Macaca mulatta: one gene and its partner. The protein of the gene in region 1 interacts with the protein of each later gene in a pairwise test. Links are inferred from orthologs where the notes say so. Each region holds a gene or a part of one and is shown on either strand. Other genes may lie near its edges. The genes, in order: HNRNPF and HNRNPM.

What was found.
Region 2: the proteins of HNRNPF (region 1) and HNRNPM interact in binary tests that used the Homo sapiens proteins (3 or more experiments, as listed by UniProt). The two-hybrid records come from large-scale screens. The link is inferred for Macaca mulatta from reciprocal best matches to the Homo sapiens genes HNRNPF and HNRNPM.

The regions. Positions count from the first base shown.
Region 1 is NC_133414.1:55,879,975-55,888,379, forward strand, and holds the start of HNRNPF (heterogeneous nuclear ribonucleoprotein F), read right to left. Parts: upstream 5,441-8,405; 5' UTR 5,364-5,440; intron 1-5,363.
Region 2 is NC_133424.1:9,323,259-9,330,919, forward strand, and holds part of HNRNPM (heterogeneous nuclear ribonucleoprotein M), read left to right. Parts: intron 1-707; coding exon 708-809; coding exon of another isoform or gene 810-848; intron 849-3,981; coding exon 3,982-4,026; intron 4,027-4,484; coding exon 4,485-4,562; intron 4,563-7,661. UniProt on the Homo sapiens protein: Pre-mRNA binding protein in vivo, binds avidly to poly(G) and poly(U) RNA homopolymers in vitro. Involved in splicing.

The DNA of each region.
Region 1 (8,405 bases):
TATCTTAAGACTTCTAGCCTCCATAACTGTGAGAAAATTTGTTACTAGTCTCTATTACTTTGCATGGCAGCCCTAGCATACTAATACACCATGTTACCAAACCAGACAAAAACACCACAAGAAAACTAACTTCTGAATTCTATGTACTTCTAACACCAACTTAAATTAGAAAAGATAGGTATTTGTCATAAACGTCATAATTCTATTAGATGGCCCTATTCTAATCAAATAACTTATGATGGGTTTATCAGGATGTAACATAGTAAGTAGGAGTATCTGTATTTATATTAGGTGAAGAGTTGTCTAACAGGAGGCATACTGTTAGGATAAATCTAATAGGAGTCTTAATCTGTCATGCCTTTCCTTAATTATGATGGCTTTTTGTGTGTGTGTGTTTTTTAAACGGTCTTGCTTTCTTGCTCAGGCTGGTATGCAGTAGAGCGATCACAACTCACTGCATCCTCTATCTACTGGGCTCGAGGGATCCTCCCCACTTAGCCTGCCAAGTAGCTGGTATTACAAGTGTTCGCTATCACATCTGGCTAATTAAAAATTCTTTTTTGAAAAGATAGGGTCTTGCCATCTTGCCCAGGCTGGTCTTGATCTCCTGAGCTCAAATCCATTCTTCCACCTTGACCTCCCAAGTGTTAGGATTACAGGTGTGAGCCTACATTGCCTGCTCTGTGTCACTTTTTCTCTTCTGAGTCGGACTCTGGCTCTGTCACCCAGGCTAGTGTGCAGGCGCACGATCTCAGTTCAGTGAAACCTCCGCCTCCTGAGGTCAAGCAATTCTCCTGCCTCAGCCTGGGATTACAGATGCACACCACCACCCCCAGCAAATTTTTGTATTTTTAGTAGAGATGGGGTTTCACCACATTGGCCAGGCTGGTTTTGGACTCTTGGCCTCAAGCAATCTGCCTGCCCCAGCCTCCCAAAGTGCTGGGATTAAAGGTGTGAGCCACCCCGTCCAGTCTGTGTCATTTTCAAGAGATCTTTTTCCTAGCCCAAGCCCATATGGTTATCTGAACTTACAAAGCGCTGATGTTTTTACCTAAATTTTTACACTTAGATCTACAATGAACTTGAAATTGATTTTTTCATTTCCAAAAGAGTTTACAATTAGTTCATCAAGTATCACAGGCTAATTTTACTCAAGAACTCAGATGTGAAAGTCCAAACCAAGTATCAGTCAACCAAATCCAGCAATATGTAAAGCAATATTATGACCAAGTTGGGTTTATTTCAGGAATGCAAGTGTAGTTGATCATTTCAAACTCAATCACTGCAATTTATCATACTGATGTATCAATGGAGACAAAGTACAGAGGTAATTTTTTAATGTTTTATGAGAAATGCTAAACTGAATTTATGTCAAGGAAGAAACGAGGCCATGTACTGTGGCTCACACCTGTAATCTCAGCACTTTGGGAGGCCGAGGTGGGCAGATCACTTGAGCTCAGGAGACCACCCTGGGCAACATGGCAAAACCCCTTCTCTACAAAAAAATACAAAAAAATATTAGCTGGGCATGTGGCACACACCTGTAATCCCAGCTACTTGGGGGGCTGAGGTAGGAGGATTGCCCGAGCCCAGGAGGTCAAGGCTGCAGTGAGCTCTGTTTGCACCATGGCACTCCAGTGTGCGCATCAAAATGAAATTGTTTCTTGAAAAAAAAAAAAAAAAAAACAAAATGTAGGGGGCTGGGTGTGGTGGGTGGCTCATGCCTGTAATCCCAGCACTTTGGGAGGCCAAAGCAGGCAGATCACTTGAGGTCAGCAGTTTGAGACCACCCTGGCCAATATGGTGAAACCATCTCTACTATTAGACGGGCGTGGTGGTGCTGCACGCCTGTAATCCCAGCTGCTCATGAGCCTGAGAATTGCTTGAACCCAGGAGGCTCAGGCTGCACTGAGCCCGGATCCTGCCACTGCACTCCAGCCTGGGTGACAGAGTGAGACTCTTAAAAAAAAAGAGTCTTAAAAAAAAAAAAAAAAAAAAAGGAAAACAAAAGTACATCTTAGAGCGATCAAATGATCATTGAAGGAGTTATCATCTTATAAAAGTATTCCTGCTAATAAGTGAGAAGGAATCGATTATTAAAATATCACTAATTTGGAAACCATTTAAGAAAATAATAGATCTAGGTAATGATCATTAATAGCTGCTGTAACATGACAAAAGGGAAAATACCAACCAATATGTGCCTCCAGTAGGGGCACAGCACCTCAACTAAGTATTCTTTCCAAAAACTCCCATCTGAATCAAAACTACCTCCAGGCTGGGTGTAGTGGCTCACACCTGTAATCCCAGCACTTTGGGGGGCTGAAGCGGGTGGATCACCTGAGGTCAGGAGGTCGAGACCAGCCTGACCAACAAGGTGATTCCCTGTCTCTACTAAAAATACGCCTGTAATCCCAGCTACTCAGGAGGCTGAGGCAAGAGAACTGCTTGAACCCAGGAGGCGGAGGTTGCAGTGAGTCAAGATCACTGCCATTGCACTCCAGCCTGGGCAACAAAACCAAAACTCTGTTTTAAAAACAAAAATAAAACCAAAACCAACACCACTTCTAGAGGTAACTATCACTTTACAGCAAATATAAAGAACAGAGACTCAAAGGCCACCAGGGAAAAACAATCAGAAAAATGCGAAGTGTGGGGAAGGAATGCTGCAAGACAACCCGACAAATATAACCGGGAATGGGGCCTTTAAGAAAGGGGAACTTCTAGATGATCACTGATACAGCATCCATTCACCACACCTGAAATGTGTATGTGTAAAACTCACTGGATTTTGACAGGTTCACAGGATTGTTTTTAATTATTTTAGTCAAGATCATGGAGAAACGAAAGTGTTTTAATAGTGGATATATGTTAGGTTAAATTATTAATACAATGAATCACGTTTCCTTTTACCACTAGAGAATATAAGATTGGCCGGGCGCGGTGGCTCAAGCCTGTAATCCCAGCACTTTGGGAGGCCGAGACGGGCGGATCACGAGGTCAGGAGATCGAGACCATTCTGGCTAACACAGTGAAACCCTGTCTCTACCAAAAAACACAAAATACTAGCCCGGCAAAGTGGCGGGTGCCTGTAGTCCCAGCTACTCGGGAGGCTGAGGCAGGAGAATGGCGTAAACCCGCACGGCACTCCAGCCCGGGCGACAGAGTGAGACTCCGTCTCAAAAAAAAAAAAAAAGAATATAAGATTACATTTATAGCATACATTATACTTCTATTGGCCAGTGCTGCTCTGAATTTAAAAAGTTATCTACAAAATATAAGGTGTGACTTTGGATCCTGACTCAAACCAACCAGTTGTTTAAAATATTTAATACGGAAACATTTAAACCCTGGAAACTTGGTATTTTGGAATGTATTTTTAGGTATGATAGCAGTATTATGGTTAGATTTTAAAAGTCCTTAGAAATACTGCGGATTTATTTATTAATAAACACCTTATTGGTCTGGGATTTGCTGTAAAATAACCCAGGGTGGTCTTGGCTGACTGTTCTCCCTCTGCCCACCCTGTTGCCCTCCAAAGAACCGTAGCTCAGGGGAACTAAGACAGGGCAAGGGCCCCGGCAGGGGAGGGGTGTCCCGGTCCAACTTGGGACCCAGTCCCAATTGTGTCCCTGGGCACGTGACTTCTCCCAACCTCCATTTTCTCATCTGGGGCTAATAGCAACCCCTTTTACAGTAGTCCTGAGAATGTAATTAGAAAATGGAATAAAACTTCTAGGACCTAGTAAGAATCAACTAATGTGGTTCTCTCGAAGAGCAGAGAACCAGAGCTCAGTGGAGGAGGGGAATTAGAGAAGTCACCTCCACGGAAAGGGCCTGTCACATTTCTGCAGCCCCTGCAGGCATCTACCCGCACTAGGCTCTCATTTGCCTCCAGACTTTCCAAGGTTCTGGCCACGTGGGAGAAGTAACTTTATTTACTCACTATTTTCCCTTAAATAAATTGCAATTTTTACCTGAATAAAGCTTTGTAACGCTACCCTTAACAGAAAACTTCACAGTTTACAAAAAAGTGGCCAGGCATGATGGCTCACGCCTGTAATCCCAGCACTTTGGGAGGCAGAGGCGTGAGAATCGCTTGAACACAAAAGTTTGAAAATCAATCTGGGCAACACAAGGAGACCCCATCTCTACAAAAAATACAAAAATTTGCCAGGCGTGCTGGAGAATGCCCGTGGTCCCAGATACTCGGCGGCTGAGGTGGGAGGACCCCTTGAGCACAGGAGGATCTCGGCAGCCAGCCGAGATCACACAGCCTGGGCAACAAAGTGAGACCCTGTCTCAAAAAATAATATATATAATATATATATCATTTTATAGAGACGGGGTCGGTCTCTGACGCCCAAGCGATTCTCCCACACCTCGGCCTCCCTAAATGCTGGGATTACAGGCGTGAGCCACCTCGCCCGGCCGGCAGTGACTCTAATCTACAGAATGCACACCGGAATGTAATACCTACAAGGCAAAAGATCTTTTTGCTTAGGAATAAAGCAATCTCTCTCTTTACATTCATTAAAGTAGTAATGTCTTATTTTATAAATTCTGTAAAAGCAACGAGTCACTTTTCAGGGATAGCACTTAAGATATCTTTCACCTACCTAGAGAACCCAATGAATTTTTATCTTACTAGGAATTCAGAGACAACCACGTATCTAACTTTTAAAAATATAAGTAGAAAGAATTATATGTGTATATTTTTGGAAGAATTAAGATGACTTTTTGAAAGGAACGACTGAAGACAACACTTTCAGAACTCCCTGCCGCCTGAGGCTGTGGCCCTGACCCCGGCGCAGCGCCCGCCCCGCGCGGTTCCGGGAAGCCGCCGTCGCCGCCCGTTGCCCTTCGCGCGCAGCCGCCAGCGCGCGCCTCCTGTCCCGCCACGCAGATGGCCGGCCCGAGCCCCCAGCGCCCGCAAGCAGTTTCGAAAACTAAAGAGGCGCGTTAGCTCGTCCCCGGGCCGCTCGGAGACCGAAAAGCCGCAGCGAAGGGCGCCCCGCGGGCAATGGCCGAGCTCGGCTCTCCTTCCACCCTCCAGCCGGGACACACGCGGAGCCGAGCGGGGATCCCAGGCACCTAGCGGGAGGGGTCCCCGCGACCTGGGCGGTCTGGCGGGGAGGGCGAGTCGGGTGCCCTGCTCCTCAAAACCCTGGTCCACGACTCTGCGGTTGGGGGAGCGGGGCAGCCGGCGCAGCAGGAGCCGGGCCCCGTCCTCAAGTTTCCTAGGAGCAGGGCGGAATCGACGAAAATGCTTCATACACACAAGCAGAAGGGAAAAAAAAAAAGACGACTAAGCCGAAGAGCGCGCACGAGTCAGATTTTCACCCCAGATACAAACACGGTACCTCTAGGAGCAGGAGACCAACACAGAGACCGCGCTACGAGGACACGCGGCGCCGCCGAGGAAGAAAATGGGCCCAGGGCAGAGAGCTAAGGCTCCGGGAACCGGGCGTGGGAGGAGGGCGGAGCCAACTCCCCACAAGGAAGTCTTGTGCAACTCTCAGGCGCCTACAGCCACGTGAGCGCGCGGCTTTCATTTTATTCAGGTATTATTACTACTGTTATTACTTCTGAGACAAGGTCTCACTCCCATCGGCCAGGCTGGAATGCAGTGGCACAGTCACTGTCACTGCAGCCTTGACCTCCTCAGAGCAAGCAACTCTCCCGCCTCAGCCTCTCGAGTAGCTGGGACAACAGGCGCGCGCCACCACACGTGGCTTTCTATTTTTTTTTTTTTAACTTTTTAGCAAAGACAGTTTCACTATGTTGCCCAGGCTTGTCGGGAACTCTTGGGCTCAAGAGATCCTCCCGGCTGGGCCTCCCACTGAGCCAGGCCTGTTCTCACTTTCAGAGCCCTCCGGTGGTCGCCAGCGCCCGACCAGGAGGCTGAACTAACGCACCGGCCGGCCGTGTCTTCCCGGCAGCCCCTGACTCCAAAATCTCAGCCCGCGGTGCTCACCGCGTGGGACCACTATCTGGGCGTGCGGCTCTCGACCTCCGACACTGCGTCTCCCGATCCCAGGGGGTCCAGTTCTCGTCGGTCCCACGTACCGGCCCCTCGACCTCGAATCCGTCCCCCAAATCTCAGCGCCGCGGCCCCTCATTATGTGCAGTCCTCGATCGGTCCCAGATGCGTGGCGCTTAAACTCAGATCTCTCCTCCCTGATCCCAAATCCCAGCCCCAGCCCCACCCACCCCAATAGGCCCAAACCCCAGGTAGTCCGGGTACGGGGCCCTGGACTTCGGAAGGTCTCCCCAATCTCAAATCCCAGGCCCACTGTCCACACCCCCAGGGGGACCCGGTCCCCGCTCGGTCACGGGTGTGCGGCCTTCGACGTCGGAGACTTCGGCCACCCCTCACCTCGGCCTCCGAGTCTCTACGCTCCCGCTCTCACATCAGGCACCCCGGTGGTCCCTCGGAGCACCTAGAGGAGGGTGGGACGCGGGGAACTTGGCAGTTGTAGCAGAGGCAGTTGAGGCTTGTTGACCATCACCATGGAAACCCCCGGCTGCGAGCACGGGGCGGGGCCTACGAGGGGCGGGGTCAGGCGCGCTGCCGGCCCCAGTCCTTAGCGCCTGCCCGACGAGAGCACGCGGCTTTGCCGGAAGCCCTCCTGCTCCCGGCGTGCCAGGCCCCGACTCGGCCCTACTCCCCGGCTCGGCCCTTTGCCCTGAGCACCCGGAAACAGAAGCCCAAGGAGCCCGCGTCCCCACCCCGCTGCTACCTGCCGGCGTGACAGCGATTCAGTGCCACCCCGAACCCCACCTTAAGGAAGACGCGGCGCAGTCCTGCTTCCACGACGGAGCCGGAAGGACGCAAGGACCGCGGTAGGGCGGAGCTTCTGCGTCTTGCACCCGGGGGCGGGGCCGCGACGGCGCTACTGTGACGCGCCCAGAGCGGAGCTACCGGTTGGCCGGCCGGGCGCGGAGCTGAGCCGACACTGGGGGCGGGGGTGTGGGGGAGGCGGCGGAGGCAGACTAGCGAGGACGTTTCTGGAGAGGAGAAGGGAGGGGTGGGGAGGGGATGGGGGGGAGGAGAAGGGAGGGGTGGGGAGGGGATGGGGGGGAGGAGAAGGGAGGGGTGGGGAGGGGATGGGGGAGGAGGAGGAGGAGGAGGAAGTGGAGCGGCGGGAAAGATCCCTCTGACTGCCCCTGAGGCCCTGGAGGAAGGCCACTGGTAAGCCCCGCAGGACACTGAAATGTGCGCTCAAAGGACTCCTGATTTGAAGACTAGGATGGGAAAAGGAAATGAGAACCATGGCAGGCCGTGGTGGCGCAAGCCTGTGGTCCCAGTAATTTGGGAGGCTAAGGCGGGAGAATCGCTTGAGCCCGGGAGGTCGAGGCTGCAGTGATCCGTGACTGCTCCACTGCGTCCAGCCTGGGCGACAGAGCGAGAGGCTGTCTCAAAAAATAAAATAAGGAAAGAAGTACACTGAGGGCCGGGCGCAATGGCTCACGCCTGTAATCCCACCACTTTGGGAGGCCGAGGCGGACGTATCACGCGGTGAGGAGAGTGAGACCATCCTGGCCAACATGGTGAAACCCCGTTTCTACTAAAAGACAAAAAATTAGCCGGGCGTGGTGGCGCGCGCCTGTAGTCCCAGCTACTCGGGTGGCTGAGGCAGGGGAATCGCTTGAACCCGGGAGGCGGAGGTTGCGTGAGCCGTGATGGCACCACTGCACTCCAGCCTGGCGACAGAGCGAGACTGCGTCTCAAAAAAAAAAAAAAAAAAAAAAAAAAAAAGTACGCTGAGTACTCCAGAGATCGCTTAAAGGCGTCTCAGAGCGGGGCAAGCGTTAGGAGGGATTTGTCAGGTCGAAGTTGCTCACGTGGTAATTCCGTGGTGTGAGAAGCCCCCAAACCTCAGAATGTAACTCAGACCCAGGTCGAGGGCAAGGTTTTCAGTCACAGAGCACCTGAACACAGAGATTTGGTGGCTAATGGCTAAGCCAGGGACAGATTTTTTTTTTTTTTCTCACGCTTTGTAAGGCTAATAATTATAATCATTTCATTTTGGTGGACCTTCCTTCATGAAGAGATGATGTCAAGGCACTCATCACAGGTTAAGCTGAACATTATTACTATTACTATTTCCAGACTGGGTCTCTCTCTGTCAGTCAGGCTGGAGTGCAGTGGGTACAATCACGGCTCACTGCAGCCTCGACCTCCTGGGCTCAAGCAATCCTCCTGCCTCAACCTCCTGAGTAGCACCACCACTATTGGCTCAATTTTGTATTTTTTTTTTTTTGAGACCGAGTGTTGCTCTGTCGCCCAGGCTGGAGTGCTGTGGCGCAATCTCGGCTCACTGCAAGCTCTGGTTCCCGGGTTCACACCATTCTCCTGCCTCAGCCTCCCAAGAAGCTAGGACTACAGCAGCCCGCCACCA
Region 2 (7,661 bases), on another chromosome or scaffold:
CCTGGCCTTGTTATAATTTTTGAAACCTTACCTGGTTGTAGTTTAAGCCTCAGATGGTGGTTACCCCAAATATTGCAAGTGTCAGCTCTTTTGGCTGTTTCCAGAGACCAGCCTGTATTTCTGTGTCCCTGTTTGTGTTGGTAGAGCATGGAGTTGAGTGTGGGCTGGGTATCCAGTTGTGGGTTAGGAAGCTTTGGGGGAAGGAAGATAGGTTCTTTGAATACATACATTAGGTTCATTGTTACTAAAACCACCCAGATTCAGAGAGTAGCGTACATCCAGGATGTTGATTGGCTGGTTTGTAACGTGTTTTTTCATGAGAAACGTCCTTTGGGCTACTAGGGATTGGGCACATTTGTGCTGCTTGCCACCTGATGTCTTGAGTCACCTTTTTTGATCAGTTCTCAGTCCATGGGTTAGTGAAACAAATAGGCTCTCAAGAATCTTAGTGTGGGGGTTGTTAACTTTCCCCTGTGTTGGTTTTCAGCCGCCTTTGTTGTATACACACATATCCCAAACGCCAGAACAAGGTTCTGTTTCCAAATGTGCTGATGTTGAATTTTGCATTGGGCCCTGGGGTCACTGGTGGGTGGGGGTGGGTAGGCTGGAGTGGATAGCTGCAACTCACTAAACAAAGACTCTTTTCCTTTGAGGGTCAAGGTTTGCTAAATAGGGGAAAACTAAACTTCTTTCTCTTTTCCTTCCAGATGGCCTTGGTGGTATTGGCATGGGGTTAGGACCAGGAGGGCAACCCATTGATGCCAATCACCTGAATAAAGGCATCGGAATGGGAAACATAGGTCCCGCAGGTGAGAATGATAGTGCACCTTGCTTGGGGTTTTGGGGAAGTGAAAATTATTAATTATTGGGGCAACTGGACTTTGAGTAGTTTAAATGGAATAAATAGTTAACTGGGACAAAATTCCCTCCTATTCATCTCTGCCTCATTTTTAATAAAGGCAGTATTTTGTATTTTTATCAAGTTGAATCCTTGTTTAAAGTCATTATACTTTTTCATTGTAACCTCACGACAACCTTCTAAGCTGAAATAGTTGTGCCATTTGATAAGAGGAGGCAAGCCAGAGAGTTGCTCTTGCTCAAGGTCACACTGTCAGTTAGTGACAGGCTGCAGGTCTCCTGACCACAAGACCATAGCACTGCTGCAGTACCCTGAAAAGTGTCTTACCAAGACCCCGTGGGCCCTCCTGGTGTTTGCACAGCTGCTGCTAGAGAGCTAGGGGCATTGATAGATGCAAAAAAGGTGGAGAGGCCAGGCGCGCTGGCTCATGCCTGTAATCCCAGCACTTTGGGAGGCCGAGGTAGGCAGATCACAAGGTCAGGATTTGAGACCATCCTGGCCAACATGGTGAAACCCCATCTACTACAAATACAAAAATTAGCTGGGTGTGATGGCATACGCCTGTAGTCCCAGCTACTTGAGAGGCTGAGGCAGGAGAATTGCTTGAACCCAGGAGGCGGAGGCTGCAGTGAGCCAAAATCGCGCCACTGCACTCCAGCCTGGGTGACAGAGCGAGACTCCGTCTCAAAGAAAAACGGTGGAGAGGGCCTCACTCTGTGACAATGTGGCCGTCACAGGAAACATGGTGGACAGTGTTGTCTTTAAGAAGACAGGGATCCGCCGGGCGCGGTGGCTCAAGCCTGTAATCCCAGCACTTTGGGAGGCCGAGACGGGTGGATCACGACGTCAGGAGATGGAGACCATCCTGGCTAACACGGTGAAACCCCGTCTCTATTAAAAAATACAAAAAACTAGCCGGGCGAGGTGGCGGGCGCCTGTAGTCCCAGCTACTCGGGAGGCTGAGGCAGGAGAATGGCGTGAACCCGGGAGGCGGAGCTTGCAGTGAGCTGAGATCCGGCCACTGCACTGCAGCCTGGGTGACAGAGCGAGACTCCGTCTCAAAAAAAAAAAAAAAGAAGACAGGGATCCCAGCACCCGAGGTCAGGAATTTGAGACCAGCTTGGCCCACATGGCAAAACTCCATCTCTACTAAAAATACAAAAATTAGCCGGGCGTGGTGGCTTGCACCTGTAATCCCAGCTACTCGGGAGGCTGAGGCAGGAGAATCACTTGAACCCGGGAGGTGGAGATTGCAGTGAGCTGAGATGACATGACTGCAATTCAGCCTGGCAACAGAGCGAGACTCTGTCTCAGAAAAAAAAAAGCAACTGCATGAAAGCTTCAATGTGTAGAATAAACTCAGGCTTTGCTGTTTAGCATTTTCATTTCTGTATAATGATGTATTTTGATTCTATTAAGGAGTATTTCATTTTAATGACTTCAGACTTTGGTCTTTGTTAGAATCCTTTGAAATTGGAATTTGGAAGCCCCTCTATCCCACCATTGTCAGTGTTGCATATCGCTAGATTCTTCCAGGGTCACCCTGGGGCTGACTTAAGTTCTGGGCCACGACTTCAAATGGCTCTAACGTTTCCCCCTGACCCAAAACACACACACCCCACGTCTGACATCTAAACAGAAAGACTGGGGGTTGGGGAGGAAGTCTTGGTGTTTTTAGGAACTGGTTTTTATTTTGAAGATTTTACCTTTAACAGGGACTTTTTAAAAATCTATTTCTGTTCCCTAAAATTTTCTAAAAAGTTTATGTTCCGTAGAATGTGTCTTACAATTGTTTCCATTTCATGTTTAATACTGCCTAGCTTGAGGCCTGTGTGTGTGTGTGGTGTGGTGTGGTGGCTCACGCCTGTAATCCCAGCAATTTGGAGGCCAAGAGTTTGAGACTAGTCTAGGCAACATAGTGAGACTCAACCTCTACAAAATATAAAAAAAATTAGCGGCCGGGCGCGGTGGCTCAAGCCTGTAATTCCAGCACTTTGGGAGGCCGAGACGGGCGGATCACAAGGTCAGGAGATCGAGACCATCCTGGCTAACCCGGTGAAACCCCGTCTCTACTAAAAAATACAAAAAACTAGCCGGGCGAGGTGGCGGGCGCTTGTAGTCCCAGCTACACGGGAGGCTGAGGCAGGAGAATGGCGTGAACCCGGGAGGCGGAGCTTGCAGTGAGCTGAGATCCAGCCACAGCACTCCAGCCTGGGCGACAGAGCGAGACTCCGTCTCAAAAAAAAAAAAAAAAAAAATAGCCAGATGTGGTGGCGTACACCTGTAGTTCCAGCTACTTGGGAGGCTTAGGCAAGAGGATCACATGAGGCTGCAGGGAGCTATGACCATGCCACTACATTCCAGCCTCAGTGACAGGAGACCCTGTCTCAAAAAAAAAAAAAAAAAAAACCCTGCCCGACTGGGTCATTAAACTGTGTAGATCCCATAGAAAAAAATTAGCTAGGCGTGGTGGCAGGCGCCTGTAATCTCAGCTAGTCGGGAGGGTGAGGCAGAAGAATTGCTTGAACCTGGGAGGTGGAGGTTGCAGTGAGCCAAGATTGTGCCATTGCATTCCAGCCTGGGTGGCAATACTGTGTCTAAAAAAAAAAAAATTTTTTTTTTTTAGCTATATATATATTTTTTTGAGTGGGAGTCTCGCTCTGTCGCCCAGGCTGGAGTGCAGTGGCTGGATCTCAGCTCACTGCAAGCTCCGCCTCCCGGGTTTACGCCATTCTCCTGCCTCAGCCTCCCGAGTAGCTGGGACTACAGGTGCCTGCCACCTCGCCCGGCTAGTTTTTTGTATTTTTTTTTTTTTAGTAGAGACGGGGTTCACCGTGTTAGCCAGGATGGTCTCGATCTCCTGACCTCGTGATCCGCCCATCTTGGCCTCCCAAAGTGCTGGGATTATAGGCTTGAGCCACTGCGCCCGGCCCAGCTATATGATACTTGACAGTTGAAATGGTAGGGGCTTTTTTTCTTGCTAATTAAAATATATAAAATATACTTGTCATCAGGGATTTTCTTTTGAGTTCTTTTGCTGGTTTGGAATTATGCTTTTTAAGTTCAAATGTTATTTACTGCTTTGACATAATTTTAGTTTGCATTGACTTTTTCTTTTTAAGGAATGGGAATGGAAGGCATAGGATTTGGAATAAATAAGATGGGAGGTAAGAAATTTAAAATGAAGTACAAGCATAATCACTTTTAGGCATGGTTTTCTCTCTTTCCTCTTTTCTTTCTTGTTTAAACCCTGCATGAAATTCTCTTTGGTTTCAGTTTGAGTCTAGAAATGACTTCCTCCTGCCTGTCCATCCTTCCAGCGGGTGTCTTGGCTTTTGGTTCTGGCTGTCTCACTAACTAGCTCTGTGACCTTGGGCAGACCACTCCATCTCTGTGCCTCTTTTTGCTTGTCTGTTCATTGAGGGGGTTGGATCAGAGCAGCTTTTTGAAGGTGGTGATTTTTAAACAAGGGTGCTAGCATTTTTTTGTTTTTCAGAAGCCCTTAAACTTGATAGATAAGTTCTTGGCAGAAGATACCCCAGTTGAAACGTGATAGAATTTTTCTTTCCCTGCTCAGTCTAAGCAGTCTTGTTGGGTGATGCTGAAATGTGAACATCTCTTGCAGGAATGGAGGGGCCCTTTGGTGGTGGTATGGAAAACATGGGTCGATTTGGATCTGGGATGAACATGGGCAGGATAAATGGTAAGCATCGTGTTTTCTTCCTGCTTTCACCCACCCTTTGTCGGCTGTTGCCTCTCAGGTGACCTTAGGCTACAGACCCACTGAATAAGTGATTTCTCACTTCTGCTTTTCAGCCGAATCAAATGTCTTTTGAATTGCCTTAAATATTTCAAGAACTAGACATAATAGTCGACTTACTTCACTTGGTCGCTAGTCTTTGAGCTGTCCTGTGTTCCCAAGCTCTGCAGTAATATTCGAGTACAGTGTTAAAAAGCATGTACATGTTTGTGGTTATGGTCTCTTGAGTATGAGGGATTCTTTAAAGTTTGTGATCAAGTTTGTCTGTCTCTAGGAGCGCTGGAAGGGGTAGTTCTTGGTCATCTGTCCCAGCTGCAAGTTGTCCATAGAGGTGTTAATAAAAAAAGAGCCTTGTCTACAGGCTCTTTTAATTTAGTATTTGCATTATGCAAATTCTGGTTTAGTGTAATTCAAATCCTTCACCAACTTTTCTTTTCTTTTTTTTTTCTTTTATTTTTAATGAGACAGGGTCTCACTCTTTTGCCCAGACTAGAGTGCAATGGTGCGATCTTGGCTTACACTGCAAGCTCCACCTCCCAGGTTCAAGTGATTCTCCTGCCCCAGCCTCCTGAGTAGCTGGGGTTACAGGTGTACGCCACCACGCCTGGCTAATTTTTATATGTTTAGTAGAAACGGAGTTTCACCATGTTGGCCAGGCTGGCCTCGAACTCCTGACTTCAGGTGATCCGCCCACCTCAGCCTCCCAAAGTGGTGGGATTACAGGCGTGAGCCACCATGCTCGGCCCCCACCCCCAACTTTTTGACAGAAATATAATGATAATATAATAACAATGTAGTATTGCATTTATTCCTTGTGAGAACCACATGATACGTACATACTGGTATCCCCGTTTCATCCAAAACTGAGGCACAGAGAGTGACATGCCTAAGTCACGTGACTGGTAAACGGTGGTGCCTGCATGTGAACCCAGGCTGTCTGGCTCCAGAGCCTGGCACTTCATCACGTGGGAATCCTGCCTTCTAGAAGTGCCTCCAGCACAGCACTTAGCCCACGGCACCAGCAGGGCTACAGAGTGTGCATGATAAATTGGAAATCTTCCTTTTTGAAATCCTCTATGTGTTGGTGACTCTTTGACCTTCCCCTTCACCACAGGAAAGCTGCTGCTTTTTTACACAGAAACTTTCTTGGAATGGGAAGTCATTAGGAATTTGGGTATAAACCTTCCTTTGCGGGTCTGTCATAACAGAGAATGTGAAAATGGTACAAGGACAGACATCACTGTCAGGCTTGAAAGGCGGCTGTCCCCGGTGATCAGGCCCTTCCAGTGCACAGGGAGCAGTGGGGCATGATGTGTGTTGCCCTCTTCATGGGTGCCTTGTTCTAGAAGCTAGTAAAAGGATGTAGGAAAGTCGTCACCATTAGTTAGTAATAAAGCAACAAAGGTCTCTGTTTCCAGCGTACATTCAAGCTTGCCTGTAACTTGTGTGTGCTTGGGATTTTATTTATTTATTTATTTTATTTATTTTTTTTGTTGTTGTTTGTTTTTTTTTCTTTGAGACGGAGTCTCACTCTTGTCTTCCAGGCTGGAGTGCAGTGGCATTATCTCGGCTCAATGCAAGCTCTGCCTCCTGGGTTCACGCCATACTCCTGCTTCAGCCTCCCGAGTAGCTGGGACTACAGGCCCCCGCCACCACGCCCGGCTAATGTTTTGTATTTTTAGTAGAGACGGGGTTTCACTGTGTTAGCCAGGATGGTCTCGATCTCCTGACCTCGTGATCCGCCCGCCTTGGCCTCCCAAAGTGTTGGGATTACAGGCGTGAACCACCGCGGCCAGCTGGAATTTTAATTTTTAAAAAAAGTTTCATACATCTGGCTTGGTAAAATGTTACTCAGAGCAGATTAGTCTGGGTGTGCTGGCTGACGCCTATAATCCCAACACTTTGGGAGGTCGGGGTAAGAAGATTGCTTGAGCTCAGGAGTTCAAGATCAGCCTAGGCAACATGGCAAAACTGCATTTCTCTCTCTCTCTTTTTTTTTTTTTTAAAAAAGAACAGATTAGTCATTAAAAGGGAATTTTGAGTTGTTGCTGTGAGGAGCAGAGTGGTGCAGTTTAGAAGTAGATGGAAACCAGGATGGGTTGGCCTGGGAGCTGTGCTGAGCTGTGTAACACAGTTGGTGGTGAACTGGCAGGTGTAATCTCGCAATCAGGATTCAGAGCCTGGGGTAGGCAGTGGCAAAGGATTCCAAGTGCCGATTCTCTGGAGAACCACAAATGGAGTGTGTGTTCCTAGACTGTTCTTAGATGTTCTGAGATATGGCACTCAGAGTGCTCCCCGTGCCCTCTGCAGCTGAGAACAGAGACTCCCTCCCACTTGATTGGCGTTCTTCGGTTTGGGTGGGATGAGCTCTAGAGCCCTTGGGCACTGCAAGGAAACTGTTCATCACACTGGAGGAAGAATTGAAGCAGACGTTTGGGTTTAATGAAATGTTAGTTCATGACTAGAGTGTAGCCATTATGGTCATGGGTGCTCCCATCAGACTGCTGGTCATGCAGGTTCCCAGGGCCCACACTCAGCATGAGTCAAATCTTGATAGAGTGGCTATAAAAATGTAAATCAAAAGATCGTTAAATGTTGGCCAAGCACGGTGGCTCACGCCTGTAATCCCAGCACTTTGAGATTAACGTTGAAAAAAAAAAAAAAGAGGGCCGGGCGCAGTGGCTCAAACCTGTAATCCCAGCACTTTGGGAGGCCGAGATGGGTGGATCACGAGGTCAGGAGATCGAGACCATCCTGGCTAACACGGTGAGACCCCGTCTCTACTAAAAAATACAAAAAAACTAGCCGGGTGAGGTGGCGGGCGCCTGTACTCCCAGCTACTCCGGAGGCTGAGGCAGGAGAATGGCATGAACCCGGGAGGCGGAGCTTGCAGTGAGCTGAGATCCGGCCACTGCACTCCAGCCTGGGCGACAGAGCAAGACTCCGTCTCAAAAAAAAAAAAAAAAAGAGAGAGATTGTTAAATGTCAAAAACTGACTGTTGTGAGGCAGTATTTGACAATAAAAATGCTACCCTTTGTGGG